3 linked regions of the Elephas maximus indicus genome follow. The protein of the gene in region 3 purifies or fractionates together with the protein of the main gene of each other region. This does not show direct contact. Links are inferred from orthologs where the notes say so. Each region holds a gene or a part of one and is shown on either strand. Other genes may lie near its edges. The genes, in order: TOP2A, DROSHA and SRPK1.

What was found.
Region 1: the proteins of SRPK1 (region 3) and TOP2A fractionate together in Homo sapiens (co-fractionation; 3 studies listed by BioGRID and IntAct, with this or other methods). This does not show direct contact. The link is inferred for Elephas maximus indicus from reciprocal best matches to the Homo sapiens genes SRPK1 and TOP2A.
Region 2: the proteins of SRPK1 (region 3) and DROSHA purify together in Homo sapiens (affinity purification with mass spectrometry; 3 studies listed by BioGRID and IntAct, counting the BioPlex papers as one, with this or other methods). This does not show direct contact. The link is inferred for Elephas maximus indicus from reciprocal best matches to the Homo sapiens genes SRPK1 and DROSHA.

What each region holds. Positions count from the first base shown.
Region 1 is NC_064837.1:47,551,369-47,558,897, reverse strand, and holds the start of TOP2A (DNA topoisomerase 2-alpha), read left to right. Parts: upstream 1-4,525; 5' UTR 4,526-4,639; coding exon 4,640-4,660; intron 4,661-5,456; coding exon 5,457-5,612; intron 5,613-5,822; coding exon 5,823-5,913; intron 5,914-6,205; coding exon 6,206-6,269; intron 6,270-7,529. UniProt on the Homo sapiens protein: Key decatenating enzyme that alters DNA topology by binding to two double-stranded DNA molecules, generating a double-stranded break in one of the strands, passing the intact strand through the broken strand, and religating the broken strand.
Region 2 is NC_064820.1:36,627,660-36,635,305, forward strand, and holds the start of DROSHA (ribonuclease 3), read right to left. Parts: upstream 3,033-7,646; 5' UTR 2,957-3,032; exon of another isoform or gene 2,953-2,956; intron 486-2,952; 5' UTR 442-485; coding exon 422-441; intron 1-421. Other genes in the region: C2H5orf22 (UPF0489 protein C5orf22 homolog), read left to right, coding at 3,350-3,430, 4,667-4,812, 7,164-7,313. UniProt on the Homo sapiens protein: Ribonuclease III double-stranded (ds) RNA-specific endoribonuclease that is involved in the initial step of microRNA (miRNA) biogenesis.
Region 3 is NC_064819.1:99,573,676-99,581,054, forward strand, and holds the start of SRPK1 (SRSF protein kinase 1), read right to left. Parts: upstream 3,078-7,379; 5' UTR 3,063-3,077; coding exon 2,461-3,062; intron 1-2,460. UniProt on the Homo sapiens protein: Serine/arginine-rich protein-specific kinase which specifically phosphorylates its substrates at serine residues located in regions rich in arginine/serine dipeptides, known as RS domains and is involved in the phosphorylation of SR splicing factors and the regulation of splicing.

The sequences.
Region 1 (7,529 bases), on a different chromosome or scaffold from region 3:
AGCTGCCCCGGGGTCTCCAGGACCCGGAGGACTTTGGCACTACCTGGCCATGAAGGGCTCTCAAGACAACCCTGGATACCCAGGGATTGAAAGGTTCCCAGGAACCCCAGAAACATCAGGCCTTCCTGGACTCCAGGGCTACCCTGTCCCTCCAAGGCTGCCAGGCCCAGGTGAGCTCTCAGGGATCCCTGGAATTCAGGAACCAGTGGGGCCTCCTGGGTCAGAGTCTCCTCCAGGACAATGAGGCCAGCCAAATCCACAGGGAAGAAGAGGCCTCCCACCCTGCCAGCCCTCTCCTCTGCCCTCCAGTTCCCTATTTCGAGCCCTCCTGAGACCTCCCTCTACACTCTTTTTTAACTCTTTTTGGGGACCTCTCACTTATCATTGAGCTTTGTAGCCATCCTTTCTCTAGGTCACCCGTCGCCACAACTAGAAGGTGAGTTACTAAAAACCAAACCTGTTACCATCAAGTTGATTCCAACTCATAGTCATAGCGACCCAATAGGACAGAGTAGAACTGCCCCATAGGGTTTCCAAGGATTTGAACGGCCGACCTTTTGGTTAGCAGCTGTAGCACTTAACCACTATGCCACCAAGGTTACTAGACATTGACAGATGCACCTTTCCTTTCCTTTACTCCTTCAGTCTCTCCCTTCCTCCTTTTCTTTAGCCATGCCCCCTCATCCTTCCCTATGCCCTTCCCACAACAAACGCTGCTCACATGTAAGACACTATGCCCTACAACTCCCTGTGTGGTCTCAGACTGGTGCATAATAGATGCACAGTAATACTTGTTGGTTCACTGAGCCTCTATTCTACCCCACCTCACACCCCACCCTACCCCTGCTTGTGTCTCAGGCTTGCCTGGTGAGAGAGGCTTGGAGGGGCTTCCTGGAGCCCCCAGCCAAAATAAAAAGGTGATCTACACTGAGGTAGGTCTCTGTGAGGGCAGAAGAGGCCAGTGTCCCCAGGCCATTGCTCGCCTACTTTATGGCCATTCCTCCCTCTTTCTCTTCCACCTCCTTTTCCCCCCCAAAACAACATCCCCAAATATGCCTTGCTAATCTCACCTCCCACTCTTGGCTTTGAGGAGGCAGTGTGAGTAGTACAACACCTAATATACCCAGAATTATGTGATCTTGAATGTGTCTCTTCTTATATGTCAGTGAATCCTATGAAAATGTCTTTCTTCTCTCTGGATAAATAATTCCAGATGCCTCCCCATACTCTCTTCTCTCTTCTGTTTGCTCAAGACTTAAGCCAGTGGCATACCCTGCCATTCTCCTCATTCCTTCACATGCTCCATCTCTTTCAAAGTGCTCTGACAGAAGGGGATACTCCGTTCTCTGCTTTCTGCTACCCCTAGTACCTCCAGTACCACCAACCCGACACCTTCTAGCTCCAGGTAGCTCCCAGGTGGCAGAAGTAGGAGGGTGTCTACAGAGGTACCCCATGACTGCCCTGTCTCTGCTTCCAGAGGATGGACTTAGCCTGGCTCCCACCTCTCTGCGGAGCTCAGATGAGACATGTCAATGTAAGAGTGCCTCACCCACCCTACCCCCACCTCACTCTCAGCTCCCATCCTGGACCCGGTTAGTCTTGGCCTCCCATCCCACTAATGGCAGAAGATCTGAGATTGGGGAACTGAAAGAAAGAAAAGGTGTTGGGGAAGGTGCCCTCTTAGTATGTTCAGAGAAGGCCTGGTCTCCCTTGGGCTGTCTCTGACTTTGGGGCAATGAGGAAAAATGGGATGGAGAGCTCACCCCTCAGTCCCATTCCCACCCTCTTCCTTTGCAGGCTAGCTCCCTCCTCTGGCCCCCAGGAGTCTTAAGTAAAGGCTCTTCTGCCCCCTACCCCCACCATGGCCTCCTGGAACTGACTCCCCCTCCTTTTTTGCCTCTCAGGGCCAGCAGCTGACAGGTACCTGGAATTGCCTCTTTGTGGGCAATGCTTCCCAAGCCCACTCTTCCCAGACTTCTATCTCCTTCTTCAAATGCTGCTGCCAAATCCTGCAAGACCCTCTGCAGTAAGTTCTGGGAAGGAGACAGGGCTGGCAGAGAAACAGCTTGGGCCCAGAAAGAAGAAGAGGGACTGGGGGAGAAAGTGTCCAAAGCAAGACCATCCTGGGCTAGCAGGAGGGAGGAGGGTTATCCTAAGTGTTTCTCTATCTCATTCAGCCATCTGTACCTTTGATAATGACATGGGGAAACTGAGATTCAGGGAAAATTCTGACACAGGACTTTACTCCAAAGTCATTTTGGCTCCACAGTTCTGTTTCTGGGTTTCTGGAACTGAAACTCACACAGTCAGTATCAGATTAGGCTTCAGGGGAGACTTTAAACTGTACCCCAGAAAAAAGGGTAGAACTGTTGCCTCAGCCACAGATGGCATGAGCTACAATGTAGAGGCCAGGAGTGGCAGAGGCTAGACTGCCATCCTTGGGGAAGCACGGTAACTTCTCCCTCCTTATTCTCCTACATGACCGTCCACCCCCACCCTCTTGGGGCCTCTGTGTTCCAGGAGTCAGAAGGCAGCATGGCTGGTCTCTGACCGGCCGGGCCATCCTGAGTCCTAGAGAAACTGCAAAGAGTGGCACTCTGCCCCTGAGCCAGGGTCTGGCCAGCTTTCTGGGCAGAAGCTACTGGATGGGCTTCTCTACAACTGCTCTGAAATTCTGGTGGTCCCTGTGCAGCAAGGTTGTCTTCCCAGATCAACACAGAGCTGAAAGTAGAAACTCCTAGAAGTCAGGCAAAAACAACAACAAACCCATTGCCACCAAGTTGATTCCAACTCATAGTGACCCCAGAGGATAGAGTAGAACCGCCCCCCCATAGGGTTTCCAAGACTAAATCTTAGTGGAAGCAGAGTGCCACATCTTTCTCCTGTGGAGTGGCTGGTAGGCTTGAACCACCAACCTCTCAGTTAACAGCTGAGCACTCTAACCACTGTGCCTCCAGGGACCCATTAGAGGTCAGGAAAAAAAAATAGGATTAGAGGAACTCCACAGCTCCATTCCTTGGCTTTCTCAATCATCCTAGCCCTGTGGGCTACTTCTGGCTTTCTCAATCATCCTAGCCCTGTGGGCTACTTCTATCCTTCGCTTCCTAACACATTGCTCCCCACCCCCACCCCCACCCCCCGAAGTGTCCCTCCTCCTTGGGCTTTGCCAGCAGAGTAAACATTGGATGCTGGCTTTGTTTAACAATGGTCGGCCTCTGGTTTCTTTTACAATGAAAAAAAAAAAGAATTAAATCCACAAATTGTCATGCCAGCCTAAGGATAATTCCTGCTTCTCATTTTGATGTTGTTAGTCTACTATTCTAAACGCCTCACATTTATCTCATGTAATCTTCACACAACTCTGAGGTAATATTATTCCCCTTTTTAGCAAAGGAAACTGAAGGACCGGCAAGCTTCCTCCATCATCACACGACTGGCAAATTGCAGATTATTACTAAGGGAGAAATAATCGGAAGGAGTTGGCTCAGATGTAATTAGTAATCATCCTAATTGTGCGGTATTTTTTTCTAACAACTTGTAAGGGCAAAAACAATGGGGGGGGGGTTCTTTTTTAACTCTGGATTGACGAAGAAAGTATAAATCCAACCATTTAATTTATAAGTCAGAATTCGTTATCAATTTGGCATTTCCTAGTCAAATTTGAACGCCAGCTCTGCACTGCAGAATTGAATTCTGAGGACAGCAAAAGTAACAAGTACTAGGGCATCCTACTGGCAGTCTAAGGAAAAGATTTCAGTTCCAGAACGACCCCTAAATTTAAAACATATCTCTGCGAGACTGGCGGTGATTTATTCCAATCTTCTTATTTATCGGTTGCAGTCCGGCGCTGCACTAGTGGGGGACTTGAAGGCTGTCCTCTATTTTGCATGGCCTCTTTACAATCTTCTGTTAGGGAAACTAAAAGCCACAAGGATAGCACACTCGTTTCTTTGCAATTAAATTCCTGGGGGGAGGGGAGGTTGAGGCAGGCTCCAGAACTTGTTCGCTTAACCAAACCACTGGACTGCCTGTCCTGAAACCCCGCGCTTAGTTTCCTCAGGAAAATGGTGCTAAAATCCCTATTTCTCTCGCTAACAATCTCTGGACGGTTTTTAGATTTAGGGGCTCTGAATAGGTTAGTGATTCCCAGAAAATAAACAGCCTTCACGTTCTCCTTTCTTTTCGCTCTGAGCCGGAACCTCAAAAAACGCCTTCCACCTTCCACACCTCGTCTCTACGGAGTTTTCCGCGCCGAGAGGAAAAAATGACTTCTCCTCATTGACCAGATTCCCTGTCTGTCTCTCCGATAACGACTTGGAGTGGTGCCTTTTTGAAACCCTCTAGTCCCGCCTCCCTTGTCTAATTGGTTCATTCGAACAGGCCCTCAAACAACTCCGCCGTTCATAGGTGAATATGAAAGACCAGTGACGATTGGTTGTTCTCGACAGAGCCGGAGAGAGAGAGTCAGGGACTGGCTTATCCGATTTGGGCGGGCTAAAGGAAGGTTCAAATGGGGCAAGGTGCGCTCTCCTAACCGACGCGGATCTGTGGAGAAGTGATCTGGTGGTTCCCGGTCGTCTCGTGGCTTCCGCCGGTTTAGTCGCTTCCAGGGTTCTCGAGCCCCTTCACGATCGTCACCATGGAGGTGTCACCACTGCAGGTACAGCTCGCGGAGGGGCCCGGTCGTGGAGCCTCAGCGCGGTTCGGGCATCTCTGGCGACCCGTGAGGGGTGAGGGCTTCTGGGCCGCGGTGCGGCCCCGCGGCGGGCGGAGAGCCCCGGCTCTCCATTAGAGCTCCCTGAAGGGTAGGGAGCCCATATTCCCTGTGGAGCCCCACTCCCTGGGCTCTGGGTGATGGTGAGTAGGGCGAGCCCCCTTTGTAGTGCTAGTATTGAAGTACTACCGGCTAAACGGGCTTCCGGGGGGAGTGTTGTGTTTTAGACTGCTTCTAGGGACCGCATTCATTTCGGTCTGTGGTAGATCTGTACTCTAGTGGTCTGCGTGTGGCGTCAAGTAGCGCATCCATGCTTTCCTCTCTCCCCTCTGTGGAAAATGGGGTTGAATGTCGCTGATCTGGGAAGATGCTGAGGATGGCACGGGGTTCCCCATCCGAGGAGCCGGCAGACCCGACACGGTGGGAGGGGAACTCAGTAAATATTTGTGTAGCTGAACGAAGTGGGTGGATTTTAGTGATGACCTAAGGCAGTGTTCAAGGAAAATGTTTCCCTTCAGATGCACCTGGTGAGATAATACGTATGTTTATTGAAATTGACGCTGGCTGCAGTTAACTGTAATGGCCGTTTTGGTACAAAACTGAACTCCACCAATGCCTGCTAGAAGTTTGCAATTTGTTATAGTGGGTTTAAGTGTATCGTTATGATGGAGATTTTTTGTTCATAGTTTCTGATAAATCAATGATTAAAAATTCCTTTTCTCCCATTGTTTGAAATTGCTAGCCTGTGAATGAAAATATGCAAATCAACAAAATAAAGAAAAATGAAGATGCTAAGAAAAGACTGTCTATCGAAAGAATCTATCAAAAGAAAACGCAATTGGAACATATTTTGCTCCGCCCGGACACCTACATTGGCTCTGTGGAATTAGTGACCCAGGTAAAATCAAGCTAATGAAAAGCAGTTATTTAGTCGTTAAAATGTGTTCTTTCGCAGATTAACTTTCTATATCTCACGTAGTTTGTCACTGGAACTGGCCTTAGCGGTCATACATCTATTGTAGTGTTAATCCAGAAGGCTATGGTAATCATGATGGTAAAGCAGAATAAAGAATAAAAATAACTATATATTTTTTTGCCTTATTTCTAGCAAATGTGGGTTTACGATGAAGATATTGGCATTAACTACAGGGAAGTCACTTTTGTTCCTGGTTTATACAAAATCTTTGATGAGATTCTAGGTGAGTAAATTTTTTCACCTAAAGATTTATAAGTCAGATCTTTCACAGGTATCATTCCTATCAAACCCTTTGTTCCAGAGCTCCTGTGATTTTGAATAGTTGGAAAAAATGGGGCCGTCTCCTGGAGCCCAGGAAATTGAATTCTTTTCTAGAAACAGTACTGTGGACAAAAATTGCTAAATTAACACCTTGTTAATGCTACTCCTGTGCTATTTGGGAAATTTTTTCTACATGTTAAAGAATGTTTTCAAAAAATACTTTTCTTACAAATGTGTATTTTATTGTCTTTCAGTCAATGCTGCGGACAACAAGCAAAGGGACCCAAAAATGTCTTGTATCAGAGTCACAATTGACCCGTATGTCTTTTTGCTTAGTCTTTTGTTATATCAAATTGTTAGTGTTATTCCTAGTTGCATTTACTTTGGCTGCTAGTGAAGTTGGCTTTTTTTTTTAAATAAAAACTTTGCAAAAAAAATCAGAACATTAAAATGAACACCTACAGTACCCACCACCTAGATCCAACAGTTATTGACATTTTGTCATATTTACTCCATCTATATATATATTTTTTGAATCATTTCAAAATAAATTGCAGATATCATGACACTTCAGCCCTAAATACTTTAGCAAGCATCTCCAGTAAATAATTTCTCTAAGTATTCTGAAGCCTAGAGTTTTAACTTTTCTTCATGATGCTATTCAAATAATGAACCAGCAGATGGTGGTAGAGAATAGGTATAAATGCTGGGTGTCCCTTAGTGGGTGGTCAGGGTACTTGTTTTACCTTTTTATTAGCCTGGTCACTTGTGAAGTAAACTACACCTTAGGCTCTTTTTGTAAGTGTTAATGATGAAGTACTTGGATACTCCCAGGAACCTGATGATTGTCTTTCAGAAAATGTTAATTGAGCTAGTTTTGGTCTCTTATAGGTAATATTATGTCTTATTTAAAATAAGAATCATAGTGTGTGCCAGTTATAACGAAAATATATCCTGTCTTCTGAGAGTTAACCTAAAATAATAGTAAGTCCAACTTTTCAGCATTTTATTGGTAAGAAGTCTCATTTATGATTGATAATGTTTTTCCCTTTTATATTTGTTTTGCACTGTGACTTTTTGGGTGTATGTCTTAGATATGTAGTGCTGCTATAATAGGAATACCACAAATGGATGGCTTTAACAAACAAATTTATTTTCTCACAGTTTAGGAGGTTAGAAGTCCCAATTCAGAGCACAGGCTCTAGGCATAGGCTTTCTCTCTGTCAGCTCTTGGGGAAGGTTCTTGTCCATTTAGCTTGTTTCCTGGTTCTTTGGAGCATCAATCTTCCACCATCTCTGCTTCTCTAGCTTGCTTGTTTGATCTCTTAATATCTCAAAAGAGATTGAGTCAAGTTACGTTATACTAATCCTGTCTCATTAACATACAAAGACAACCCATTCCCAGGTGGGATTATAACCACAGGCATAGAGGTTAGGATTTGAGGGGGACACAACACAGTTCAATCCATAACAGTGAGAACGCTAAAGGAACTAGAGTACAGGTGATCCTCTTAAAATCAGTAAAATAATATTGTTTCCAACTTTTGTCTTTTTTTTTTTTTCCATTTGGAATAAATC
Region 2 (7,646 bases), on a different chromosome or scaffold from region 3:
TTCTCCTTCGTAAGTATTTTTTGAATTCATTCATTTCACACCACCATCTCTTATCTGGCTACTACAATAACATCTTTGCTGGCCTTTCCACAACTACCATCAATGCCCTCAAGGCCTTCCCTGCTCTCAAGATACTCTACTTCTTCTCGGAATTCCTACAATAATGGAATCTACCAACTAATTATGTAATTCTATCTTTAAAGTCAGGCTGCACCTCAGGACTGCAAGTCCTGTCAGGGCAGGGATCCAGGATATCTCATTAACTGGTCTGGTTGGGTTCCTAGCCATGTACATGGCCCATTGCTGAAAGAATGAACACATTTCCCTTGCTCCGCACATGTTCAAATCCATTCAACCTACTATGGCTCAGCTCCGGCGTTTGCTCCTCTCTGCATTCTTTCAAGCTACTGCCATTACTCACCATGTATTGCCTTGCATCATGATGTACTGCCTGGATATTCACATCTTCCACAGTGATATAAACTCTAAGGGACAAAAAGAATAAAACACACATATAAGTGTGCTACAAACTGCCACCGTCACTCATCTGTCAGCTTGTTGTACCGTAGTGGCTTGCATGTTGCTGTGATGCTGGAAGCTATGCCACCAGTGTTTCAAATACCAGCAGGGTCACCCATGGTGGACAAGTTTCAGCAGAACTTCCAAACTAAGAAAGATAGGAAGAAGGATCTTACAATCTACTTCTGAAAAGACTGGCCAGTAAAAACCTTATGAACAGTAGCGGAACACTGTCTGATACAATGCCAGAAGATGAACCCCTGAGGTTGGAAGGCACACAAAACACAACTGGGGAAGAGCTGCCACTCAAAGTAGAATCGCCCTTAATGACAGGGATGGGAGTAAAACTTCTGGGACCTTCATTTGCCGATGTGGCATATCTCAAAATGAGAAGAAACAGCTGCAAATATCCAATAATAATCAGAATGTGGAATTTACAAAGTATGAATCTAAGAAAATTGTAAGTCATCAAAAATTAATTGGAACACACAAAGATCAATATCATAGGCATTCCTGAGCTGAAATTGACTGATATTGGCCATTTTGATCTGAACAATCATATGCATTACCATGCCAGGAATGACAACTTGAAGAAGAATAGTGTCCCATTTATCATCAAACAGAATATTTCAAGATGTACCCTAAAGTACAACGCTGTCAGTGATAGGAAGATATCCACATGCCTACAAGGAAGATCAGTTAATACGACTATTATTCAAATTTACACACCAACCACTAAGGCCAGAGATGAAGAAATTGAAGATTTTTACCAACTTTTGCAGTCTGAAATTGATCAAACATGCAATCAAGATACACTGATAATTACAGGTGACTGGAATGTCAAAGTTGGACAATAAGAATTGGTAGTTGGAAAACATAGCCTAGGTGATAGAAACAACACCAGAGATCACATGATAGAATTTTTTAAGACCAACAACTTTATTGCAAGTACCTTTTTTAAACAACATAAACAGCAACTATACTGGAGCTTGCTGGGTGGAATGCAGAGGAATCAACTCAACTACATCTATGGAAAGAGACGATGGAAAAGCTCAATATCATGAGTCAGAAGAAGGCGGAACACATCAATTGCTCATTTACAAATAGAAGTTGAAGCTGAAGAAAATTAAAACAAGTCCATGAGAGCCAAAATATGACCTGCGGTATATCCCACCTGAATTTAGAGACCATGTCCAGAGTAGATTTGACACACTGAACACTAATGACCGAAGACCAGACGAATTGTGGGATGACAAGGACCTCGAACATGAAGAAAACAAAAGGTTATTAAAAAGACAGGAAAGAAAGAAAAGACCAAAATGGATGTTAAAAGAGACTCTGAAACTGAAGAAATGATGACATAAAAGAGCTGAACAGGTTTCAAAGGGCAGCTGGAAACACAAAATAAAGTATAATGAAATACCCAAAGACCTGGAGTTAGAAAACCAAAAAGAAAGAACATGATTGGCATTTCTCAAGCTGAAAGAACTGAAGAAAAATTCAAGTCTCGAGTTGCAGTACTGAAGGATTCTAGCGAAAAAATGAACAACACAGGAAGTATCAAAAGAAAATAGAAGGAATACAAGTCACTGTACCAAAAGGAAATGTTCAACCATTTCGGGAGGTAGCACATGATCAAGAACTAACAGTACCGAAGGAAAAGGTCCAAACTGCACTGAAGGCACTGGCAAAAAACATGGCTCCAGGAATTAACTGAGATGTTTGAACAAACCGATGCAGCACTGGAGGTGCAGACATTCTTTACTGTTGTTGTTAGGTGCAGTCAAGTCGGTTCCGAATCATAGCGACTGTATGTACAACAGAACGAAACACTGTCCAGTCCTGTGCAAATGTTAACTCAAAAGTCAAGGAATTCCCTGCAAGTGGAAAAGTCAATATTTTCTGCATCTGCCTACTCTTGGGTTGCTGTTCGCAAGCAGAGAACTGAGGGAGGTGTTTTGAATAGTTAACACGTCTAAGAACATCACTCTAGATTAAAAAAAAAAAAAATTGCAAAGGGTGACTATATTTTCTTAAGAAATTTCTGTTTCCCAGCTGAACCATCAGGCTGGTCATTTTCACCCCGCTGCTCGGTAACTCGAGTTTCCCTGTTTGCAATCTCCCGCCAGACTGGGAACCCCAAGAGGCAAAGCGCGGGGCTCAAGTCCCGCTCCCCGCCAAGACCCGGGCGACCCCAGGCCTGGCCCACAGCCTGCGGTCCATAAATGAATGAAAGCTCTCATAGTTCACTTCCATTCATATGTGAGATCCGGGCCTCGGGTTGCTTTGTGGCCCTCACTACACACCTAAAGAGGTGCTGCCAGACCCCAACTTCCAGGCGCCTTTCTTCCCCAGCCGGGGACTCCGGCCCCGTTTTAATCTGGACACTCAGAAACACGCCCTCTTCCAACACCCACACGGCGCCCCTTTTACCTACAAAAGGCTCTCGGGCCGCAGGGTCGCCGTCTGATAAATGCCACTGTTACACTGCAGCCGCCAAGGCGGTGTGGCCGCCGCGCCTCCGGAACAGGAAACCGACGGAATTAAATACCAACCCTGAGCAAGCTGGGCCAAGGGAGGGAAACTCTTCTGCTCGCCGCAACGCTCGGGCGCGGTGATTGGTGCGTCAGCAAGAGCAATGGCCATTTCAGCCAATCGCCCAAGTCCGTCCCTCCGGCGCCCGCCCTCCCTCCTCTCTGTCCTCCAATCCGGAACCGCAACCGGGTGAGCGCGCGTTTCCGCCGGAGACGGCGGCAGCGGTCGCGGCTCGGGCTTTCCCAGGTCCTCGCCCAGCGGCACTGGCCCCCGGGAACCCTGACGCCGCGAGAACATGAGTGACTCCGCGGGAGAATGCGTTCGCCTCCGGCGCTACTCCGAGCTCCCGGTGTGGGTGGTGGAGGATCATCAGGAGGTGAGCGGGCGGCCGCCGCGCGCTTGGGGACAGGACCGCCCGTGCACTGGAGCTCTGGGGACAAGTGCAAGGCAGAGCCTTAGCACTGAAGGTGGAGAGATGACCTTCGGGTTCTGTGGCTGTGGGGAAAGACACTAAAGCAGCTGACTTGAAAGAATAGGAGTTGGCGTTTATCACGGGCTCCCACAGCCAAACACTGGTGTCCCCGGGATTCGAACCCTGACAGCCTGATTGCAGAGCCTGGTGTTCTCATCCTGCACATTAACGCTGGCTTCTGGGGAACTCCCTCCGGCTTCTCCATCCCGGTCCTGCTGTTTAGGGGAGGCGCTATGCCAAGGACGTGGGTCTCAGTCTAACGTGTTGAATCAATGCGATGGTCCAAACCCTGTGCATACATTCATCATCTGTGAAACAGGGACGATAATCGTACCATTCCTGGGGCTATTAGGAGTATTATCGTATGCATATTGTGTACATACATCTCTTGATACGGTGCGTGGCGTATATAAACACAAAAAATGGTAACTTTTATGGCTTTGCTACTTTAGCTAAAATAGTGCCTTAATCTGGATTCCTGGAAGCCTAATAAAGTGGCGATGGATCTAAGATATGTTTCCAAGGTCAGCATTAATAGGCTTTGGGGGTTCTCTGGACATGAAAGGTTATCTGGATTTGTGGATGGAGGAGTTAGAGACGAGGAAGGAATTTGGATTTCTCAGGACCAAGACATAGTGTCTAGGAGCCTAAGAGAGAAACTGGGTTAGGCTGTACTTTCAACTTCCGTTTTCAACCTAGAACTACAGAAAATGTAAAAGGAGAAAGAACCTGACAGACCACCTAGCCCCTCCTCACCATCCTAAAGGAACGGAAAAAACAGGGTAGCTTGAACACAGTTAATGTCAGAACTCAGAATTAACTAGCAGTTTGTTCCTGAGCCCCAGTCCTGGTCTGTCTCCCCACATTACCTGTTGAACTTGAGGTGGTGGCTAGATGGCAGCTAGAGCTGTTCGTCAAGCCTTTGGAGGCATAAGCTGAAAGTTCTCAGGAAAAAATAAGCCTTGAGATAGTTTCCCCAATCATCTATAGTAAACTAATTTTGTATTTCCCCATTTATTAACAGCTCGTTTGCTGTTAGCAAACTATGCAGTTATGTTTAGCATTATTTTCAATTTGCAGTTGAATATGTGCTCATGATTTCAGTGCCAATTCTGAATATATGCGTGTGTGTCTTTACAGGTTCTGCCTTTTATATACCGTGCCATTGGTTCAAAGCATCTTCCTGCCAGTAATATATGTTTTGTACATTTTGACTCCCATCCAGACCTCCTTATTCCTGTGAATATGCCTGCAGACACTGTGTTTGACAAGGAAACACTCTTTGGGTAATATGTGATGTTTGTTAATGACCTTTTATGCACTTCAAATATAACCGACCTGATAAGTGGTGATTTTAGCTGCCATTGATGTGGCCTCCGACTCATGATGACCCTATGCACAACAGAACAAAATGCTGCCTGATCCTCTGCGATCCCCAGAATCAAACCATTGTGATCTGTAGGGTTTTCATTGGCTGATTTTCAGAAGTAGATCACCAGGCCTTTCTTCCTAGTGTGTCTCAGCCTGAAAGCTCCACTGAAACCTGTTCAACATCGTAGCAACACGTAAGCTTCCACCATGGATAGATGGATGATGACTGTGCACGAGGCGCATTGGCTGGGAATCGAACCTAGGTTTCCCGCACATAAGGCAAGAATTAAGGAAAATAGACTTTGCTGAGCTCCTGGATTTTGTTTTTGTTGTACTTGCCTTTTTGGTTTTATTTAGAACAGTGTGAGCAGACTTTTCTTAAAGAGGCAAATAGTAAATATTTTAGGCTTGCTAGCCATGTAGTCTCTGTTGCAGCTGTTTATCTCTGCCCTCGTAATGCAAAAGCCGCCAAAGACACTTTAAACAAATGACTGTGGCTGTAATTCAGTACAACTTTATTTACAAAAACAGGTAGCCCAGCCAAAGTTTGCCGACCCTTGATTTAGAATATATAATTTTAGAAGTAGACATTATCTGAGCCAGTTCTCCCTCCCTTTTAAAAGTCAGGATACCAAGGTACAAGAAAGCATATCTTATCTAAACGCATAGTTCAATAATTGTATAAGCAACACGTTTTTTAATTTTTTATACTCTTCCTCCCAGGATTGAGCCCTTTCTACTTCTCAGTTTGTTTTTCAGGTTACAGATCCTTTTGACATTCAGTTATATAGAACCATAGAGATGGACGTAAACTTCGTAGTTTGCACTCCATTCTTCAGGAAGGATCACACCTAAAAACTACTTACTAGCCTCGCTTCTGTAAATAAAGTTCCCTGAGATTCTGTCAGCATCTTTCATGTATATAATTATAGAAAGTAATCTGCTTATATAATATAAAAAGTAGCAGTAATGTTGCAGTGTTATAAAATTAAAAGATAAATGCTTGAGTGAGTTAATTTTGCTACTGCTATATTTCTTTTAGTTGACTTCCCAAAACTCCAATTTGGAGTGTAATTCCTAAAGAAATTTAGCTATACCCATTGTCATTGCTTTCTTATATGTTTGGAGGTTTTACATTTTAGAAATTCAAGGAAGAATTCTGAGGCAGGTACGCAGAACTGTATGCTTAGTCTTAGAATAATGGTTCTTAAACTTTTGGGCCTTAGGACCCTTTTACACCCTTAAAAATTATTGAGCTCTTTAAATAGAGGTTTTATCAGTATTTACCATATTTCAAATTAAAACTTAGAAAATGTTAAAGCATTAATTCATATCAAAATAACAATAATAAACCCACTGCATGTTAACACATATATATTTTCATGAAAAATAAAGATATTTTCTAGAACCAAAAAATTTAATGAGAAGACTGGCATTGTTTACATTTTTGAAGATCTCTTTAATGTCTGCCTTTATAGAAGACAGCTGGATTTTCATGGACTTCCACATTAAATCTGTTGCCTAAGTTGTTAGGGTACGAGTATATGAGGAAAATTTAGACTCTCACAGATGGTGTGACTAGAAAGAGTATTTTCATACCCTTTTTGGTAATTGTGAATATTCTTCGGCGCTACACCAAACTTAACAAGCAGTAGTTTCTTAAAGGTTACTTGGAATGTAGACTCCAACAACCGAGACTCGAGTCTAAATAACCATAATTGTCAGTCAGTTCTTTCAAGAAAAAATGATGTTTAGCTCACAAGTCAATCACACAAGTGCTTTTCCTTGAGGCAGCCATTGTACTTCAAGGTATGTAGCAGAAGTGCTTTATGTGCCCTTCCAGTTTTGCCACACAGAATACTTAAAAGTTTATACTTCAAGGATCAAGATTTCATAAAATCATCAAGAACACTCTTAAGAAAAACTGGCTGTTTTGTTGTTGTAAGTGTTTAGTAGGGAAGAATATGATGGCTGCTGGCAGACTTTGGTGCCACCGCCTTGGTCAATCTTAAGATAGTAACCCACCATTGCTTTTGCACCATCAATGTAAACATCAATACAGTGCAAAGGGCAAATGATAGTATCATGAAAGTAGTTTTGACCTAGTGGACGCTCTGAAAAGGTCTCAGGGGACCTCTCTCCCCAACCCCCAAGCATTCTCAGACACACTTTAATACCTGTTACCTTAAAATATTTTCATAGAGAAAATTTTTTTTTTTAAAGTACACATTATTAGTTTTAATGTTTCTTTCTATTTCATTTTCAGAGAATTAAGTATTGAGAATTGGATCATGCCTGCAGTTTATGCCGGCCATTTTTCTCATGTAATATGGCTTCACCCCACATGGGCTCAGCAAATTAAAGAGGGCAAACATCACTTTTTAGTAGGCAAAGACACGTCCACCACAACAATCAGGTAATTTTCTCATTTTTATGAGTATTAGATTGGTTGAATGCTTTTATTTTATTTTGGATCCCTACAATTACCTCCAAAGTGTCTCTCCATGCAATTGGGATCAGAATAAGCCTCAACTCCTCCAAAAAGTTCTCGAAACACCAGAAACAGTCCCTGGAGCACCTTCGTACACCGCTTGTATTTTGTTGCTGGTCAAGTTAGTTTTTTAATAACATGATCTTCATTTTCTGGAATTCTGATTCCATTGATGACTAACTCCATTAGATCATTGATGTTATATATTCAGTGATATATTTTGCTTTTTCCTCCTGATGTCACCGCTGTTTGCTAAGT
Region 3 (7,379 bases):
CGGAACCTACGTAAGGCGGAAACCTGTCAGAGAAGTAAAACTCAAATATTTTCCACTAAAATGAGCAACAGAAAAGTGGTAAGACTGTGCCCAGTCAAAGTTGGAAAACTTGTAATACCCAGAAAACAAGGCAGTCCCATGGAATTTGGCTCTTACAGGTTTTATTTTACTTCCAAAATTCTTCATTTAAATGCTTGCTTTTTGTATCTTTAGGTCCTCATCAATTTTCATTATAACTAAGCTACCAGTTATAATATGTGAGACTGTTTCCTTAAGTGACTTGTCCAAGGTCAGACTGCTAAAAAGTGGCAAAACCAGAGTTCAAGATTTAGACAGGTCTCACTCCAAAGACCAAACTTTATGGCATGTTCCTTCCCCAGACCCTCTCCCTGACTAATCGCTGGTAACCAGCAGCTTTCATTTGTAAAATGACTGGAAGTCATCAGGAGTGCATGGAACAGAGTCAAGTTACATAAGCCTGGTGGGACTTGAACTTCTGACTTTATAGCACTCTAACCAAGTTAATTAATAATTTCAGCTACTTAAATGGAGGCTGGAGAAAAAAAAGTCAAAATTATAAAGAAAACTACTACTTGAAAACAAATTAAAAACAACTAATTACAAGTCAACGGGGCAGTTTATTCACATATACTTTCAGGAGTCAAACTTGTGCAAGATGAAATATTCAGTAAAATGACTACTAGATTATCTGTACTAGTCCCTTCCTTTTGTGCAAGTATGGAAATAATTAAGAACACAAATAACAGTAGGTTACTGATGCTCGTGAATGAAGAAGTAACAGATAATCCAAAATTCATCTATTTGGCTTTAAAAATAAAGTATATGATCTAAATAGATAATCCAAAGTAATGAAAGTCTGGTGTTAAAAATAAAGTTTATGATCATCTATGTACATTTACCTCCCTAATTATAGTCTGATTTAGGCTAAAATAAAGATTAATTCCCTAGTAGTAAGAGAGTCCAGGACAGATAACTTCTAAATAACAGTGAATAATAAAATCACAACCTCTCTACACAAGTAGAAAACAAAACTTTTTATAATACGTTCCTATCAGACCCACAAAGAACAGCAAAACTAAAGCATGGAAAAAAAGAGCAACTTATCTAAATTTCCACTGCACACTAGAATTGGGTTAAGTCCTTACTCTTCTCATTAAACCGATCTAGGATTAACCACTGATTGTGAACAATGCATATATGGATAATCGAGTGGTAAATATATTCACATATATATAAACTCATGCTTAAATGCCCTGGTCAACAAGTGCATTGCAAAATAAAAAATTTCCTAAGACAGATAACGAATGGAGCAAGAGGTGAGATCACCTACATTTTAGCACTACTGAAAAATAAGTCATTATGTACACACACACACACACGGTCTGGTATTGTCATTCAGTAGGGTAACCTAGGAAGGCCTTTGAAATGTGTTTGATCAGCACAGAAAGAATCAGACTACCTAAAAACCAGAAATGCAAAGAAAGTCACAAGACATCGAGTAAATGGCAAAGTGTCAAGAACATAATGCAGCTACAACTAAGAATTAGATGGAGAATACAAGTTATCTAAAAGCTGGTTTCCAAGACCTTTTCCAATGAAATATTAGTACACGTAAAAGTTCTTCAGACTAAGCCTGACTTGCAGAAGCCCTCTATCGGGTGCTTCTAGTAGGCTGTGACCAACTTTGTGTTTCCCACAATAGCGCTAAACCACTGTGACGCATCCTGCGGATAAAACTGGACATGTGGCACTTAATACACCAAACCAGAATCACCTACAGTGTCAGTTAGCTCAAGAGCCTTCCCATCACTATGTGAGGGCCCCTCCAGAGGGTATCTGCATTCCGTGTGAGGTTCAGAGAGAACAGATGCTACCTGTGTACACAAAGTGGTCTGCCTGCACACCGCAAGGACCGAGATGCGCCTTGCAGGCTCAGGAAGTTGACTAGCCAGGAGAAAGCTTCATGCCCTCTATGAAAGGGAGCGTGTGGTTGGCAGAACCAAAAGTAAACATGGAAAATTCATTCAAGAATTTCCTGACGGCCTACTGTGCTGACGTTGGAGGCAAGTTAAGACGCTGGGAAGCAGGTACTGAAAACAGTCCAGAGTCCACAAATAGCCTAATAATGATCTACCAGTTCCAGGTGGGAGGCCCAAGCTACAGGAGGTTGTGCCTTCCTCTCTGGAGTTGTGTCCCAGGAGGGCTCTGCTCCCTCCAGTGGCCTGTCCTGCAGGCCTTGGGCTGCTCAGGCCAGACCCAGGCCTGCTGTTCAGAAAGACAAGCTCCTTTCCACACCGGAGAGCGACCCTCCAAGGCCGCTCCGAGGCCATGTGGCTAGGGCCGCAGGGTGCCCAAACCCGGCGCAGGTTCAAGATAGGAAACTAGACAGGAGATGCCGGAGGCAATCCAAAGAATGGGTTGTTGGGGTACAAGACTCACTTCCTTTGGGCTTTGTCCTTCTTGGCCTTGGTCCTTTTCTTTCGGGCCTGGAGCGCAAGCACTGCAGGAGAGAGGGATTGATGAAGGGCGAATGTGGAGGGAAGGAGGCGACCAAGGTGAGGGTGGAGACCTAGCAGGGCTGCCAGGCCCGGCTGCGGGGCCTGCCTCGGGGACGGCTCCGGGGCGAGAGCCGCGGCTTCAGCGAGGCGGTCGGCCGGGGGGCGGGCGGCCCACGGGGCGCAGAGCAGCGACCAGGCGGAAGGCGCCGGAGGGGGCTTGGGCCGGTTAAGGGGGCCGGCAGGCTTGGGTCTGCCTCGCCCGCCGAGGGCCGGGCCCCGCGGTGACCACAAGGCTCCGGCCGGCCTGGCGGGGAACAAGGGGCGATGACGGCCGGCGCGGGCGGACGCCCCGGTTGGGGGGCGCGGACCGGCAGCCCAGCAGCGGGGGGTGAGGGGCGTCGCCACCTCAGTGGAGGGGCGCCGCACGCCCGGGGACTCAACCACGGCGGTTAGGCGCAGCTGCGGGCTCTGACCCGGGCCTCGCCCTGGAGGCCGTTGCCCCTCGTGGCGAAGGCCGCTCCACTGCTCACCTTTCCGCTCCATGGCGAGACCGGTAACCGCCAGGCGCCTGCGCACTCGAGCGGCGGCGACTCCGGCTCCCGCCGCGGCCCAAAATCGAGCCCGCGCCCACCCCGCCCCCAGTCCCCGCCCCCGTCCCCGCCCCGTCCCCGCCTCACGTCGCCACGCGCCTGCGTATTGAGCGTGGATTCTACCACCTGCTCCTGAGAAAGGGGGGGCAGTCGGGAGTGGGAGGAGGAAGGGAAAAGGGAGCTCCGGGTTTGAGCGCTAAAGAGGTGTTTGCCACCTAGGCTTGAAAGCTCGGCCGGGTCCGGTTCGTTTGCCGAGAGGGGTTAGGAAAGGCGCAGAGGAGCGCGGCCTTGAGGATTCCCTGCGTGCTGAGTCAGAGCTCCGCAGTCAACTGGGGTGTGCCTCAGTTTCCTGGTGTGTAAAATGGAATTAATCAGACGTGTCCCAGTTCTTTCGCTGACCTATTGTAGGGGCCAGTTGAGATACTATTTAAAGAAAATGGGGGCGGGGGAGGGAATTACATGTGAGAAAGAACAGGAAGTGGGAACACAAAAGAAAGACTGAAAGGAAGTTACCTGTGACCTATTGTAACCTAAAGAACGGAAACTTAAAAAGTGAATTTTTTCTTAAATTTTTAAAGTTTAAATGAAGGCTGTAAAAGGAAAGAAAGCGATGGCAGAACAAAAACGTTTAATGTTTTCTCATTTTACCACTTTCTGTCTTTTCAGTACATTGTAAACAGACTTGTCTTTCATTTATAGTTTTATACTGTCTCAAATGCATTATCTTATTTGATGTTCATGACAACTTGTAAGGCAAGATACTTAATACTGCCACTACACAAAGAAACTAAGACTTATAATCTCGGTATCCTGACCAAATGACTCAGTCATCAAACCCTTATTGTAAAGCAGATCACAAAGTTTTTCTGTAAAGGATCATATAGTAAACGTTTAGGTTTTGCACACCATGAGACCTCTTTCTCAACTACCCAACTCTACCACTGGAACTCAAAAGCTGTCGTAGAAAATATAGGCTGGCTTTATTTATGGGTACTGAAATAGGAATTTCATGTAATTTTCACATCATAGGAAATGTTATCCTTCCTTTGATCTTTTTTTCAACCATTCTTAGCTCTAGTCCTTAATTTGTCAACACTTATTGTGAAGTATTACATGCAGGTGCATGAAGACCCTTGACCTAAAAGAAGTTAGACTCTAATGAGGAAAGATAGACAAATCAATTGACTGTGAGAAAGGAAGTTGAAACTAAGTGCTATACCAAAAACCCATTGCTGCCAAGTGGATTCTGACTGATAGCAACCCTACAGAACAGAGCAGAACTGCCCCATAGGGTTTCCAAGGAGCAGCTGGTGGATTTGAACTGCCAACCTTTTGGTTAGCAGTAGCTCTTAACCACTGGGCCACCAGGGCTCCAAACTCATTGCTTTCCAGTCAATTCCAACTCATAGCGACCCTATAGGACAGAGTAGATCTGCTCCACAGACCACAGTACAGCACAAATCAAGTGTGGGGGCTTGGGCAGCACTTACTAAGCAAAATAAGTAATTCAGTCCAGCCGGGGGGAGGCAGTTTTTGAGCTGGGTCTTGGGAAATGTGTCAGGTTTCCATAGCTGGAAAAGGACATGTCAGACATTACTGGCTGAGAAAATCGATTGAGCAAAAAGATAGACTTGGAAGCTTGTGGGCAGGGCCTGTAGCATGTAATGACTAAAGGGCTAAATTGGAAGGTGAGGCTGGACAATACATCTGCCAAATTTGAAACTTAGATAATTAATATCTGTTGCATAGAACCTGCATGATAGCATTTCTGGGCATATTCCCAAGACCCAGCTCAAAAGCTGCCTCCTCCCTGGCTGGACTAAATTACTTATTTTTTTCAGTAAGTCCCACCCAAGCCTGCACACTTGATTTGTGCTTGATTTTTTATAGTACCTGTTGACCAAGGAACACTGCAGCCCCATCTCCTCATCATCCTAAACTGAGGACAAAAGAAGAGTAAGGGCGCTTCAGACAGGGATTGGACTGGACTATGGGATAGAAAATTATACTGGTGAAGAGTGAGCTTCTCGGATCAAGTAGACACATGAGACTATGTGGGTAGCTCCTGTCTGGAGGGGAGGTAAGAGGGCAGAGGGGGACAGAAGCTAGCCAAATGGACACGAAAATAGAGAGTGGGGAGAGGTAGTGTACTGTCTCATTAGGGGGAGAGCAACTGGGAGTATATAGCAAGGTGGATATAAATGTTTGTATGAGACACTGATTTGATTTGTAAACTTCCACTTAAAGCACAATTAAAAAAAAAAAAAAAAAGGAGAGTAAGGACAGAAGGTGAAGCCCTGGAGCCTGAGGACTCTGATAACCCAGGAAAACTACATGTGGCTCAGAAAAGACAGGAGAGAGCTGGTGACTGAGGAAAAGTCCCAAATCAGGAAAGCACTACCCACCAGAATGTAAACTTCATGAGGATAGGAGCTCTGTTTTTGCCTTGGTATATTCCCAGCGCCTAGTACAGTGTCTGGTACTTATTAGCCCAAATATTTGTCTAATCAAAGAATAAATGAAAATTTTCTCCAAAGCATCCGTGTGGAAACACCTAGCAAATATTGGGGAATTCAGATCTGTAGTTTATGAGAAAGATCAAGACAAGAGAGAGAGACACAACCTGAGAGCCGTGCTAAAATCCAGGTGGGTTACGGCGGGATCCGGTCATACCTGTTCTGATTCTGAGTGACTATTACTTCTCTCTCTAAAAGCTTACAAACCATCTGTTTAATAACTCACTTGAGAATTTTTCCAGAATAAATGTAAAGTTCGATGGACTGAGTTCCAAGAATTGATCATTTTTTTGTCTTTTTTTTTTTCCTGCTTATCTTCATCCTCTTAGCATACTTCCAGCTCTCCACACTTTCTAAGATCTCTTCAATTGTTCGCATAAGCAAGTTTTTCCCCTCCTACTGTAAAACCATCCATTCCTTTGTGCTTCTTGCTTTAAAATGTAGTTTTAAAAATCACTTCTGGGTTTTACCTTTCCAGAATTTTACCCTTCTTAAAGGTGGTGGCCATCAGTCTCAGCTACTGGCACACTCCCTCTCCCCCAAATGCTTTTCTGCGAGTCCTTTTAAATGTGGAATTATTCAGAGAGCATGAGCAGTTGTATTTTTGGCTACTCACTGTCATTGTCAGAATTTAATGTCTGAAAAGATCCCATTCTTCTTGAACTTAACTTACTTTTTAAGACTGTCCTAGGAGCTTCCTTAATTCTTCTTTGGAATTTTTGAAATCTGATTTTCTGAAGTTTAGGACACGTTTCATTACGCAACATTCCCTGCCTTGCTTATCACAAACTTATACTTTGTCCAAAGTATTGATCCAAATCCAAAGTAGCGCTTCCCTTTTGGCTTCCCCTACGTTTTTCAGGATGAAATGGACAACAGAAGACAGTCAAAGATTAATCAGGTGCTTTATTTCAAATAAAATAAGATTCCCAGTAAAAAAAAAAAAAAAAAAAAGTAGATGTTTGCAAAATTGGAGAACACCAACGGAACTCTATCCTGTCGTCATGTGGGATAGTTATATGAAGTATATTGTTGTTGTTCTTAGGTGCCGTATGCTTGGTGAAGTATATTAGGAAAATATAATAACATTCTGTTCTTGAGTATCAGGAAACGCATGGCACACACAAAGGATAATTGAAGAGAGTTTAATGAAGGGACTACCAGTATGCACAGAGGTGTGGATAGTGTTAAGGGGAACCAACAAGGGAAGGTGAGGCATCTGGGGACAAACAACAGCTGGGAGTCTTTACCACCCCTAAGACTAAAACAACAAGGGGATCGAGGGGACCCTTTACCAGAACCCAGTGAGAGGTGTAGCTTTAAGAAACGGCTGCTTGACAGCAGCTGTGCCCTTTGATAAAGGGACATAACCATGGCCCAGCAGGGAAATAAATACCCAGCTGTTATAGACTGAATTGTGTCCCCCAAAAAATACGTCTTGTAAATCCTAACCCCTATATCTGTGAAGAAGGATCGCTGGTGGTGCAGTGGTTAAAGCACTCGGCTCCAAGCCGGTCAGCGCTTAAAATCCCACCAGTCACTTCATGGGAGAAAGACATAGCAGTCCACTTCCATGAAGATTACAGCCTTGGAAACCCTATGGGGTGATTCAACTCTGTCCTATAGGGTCGCTATGAGCATGAATCAACTAGATGGCAAGGGCAATTGGTATACCTGTGGATGTAATCCCATTTGGGGAATAGGTTTTTCTTTGTTGTGTTAATAAGGCCATATCAAGGTAGGGTGTGTCCTGA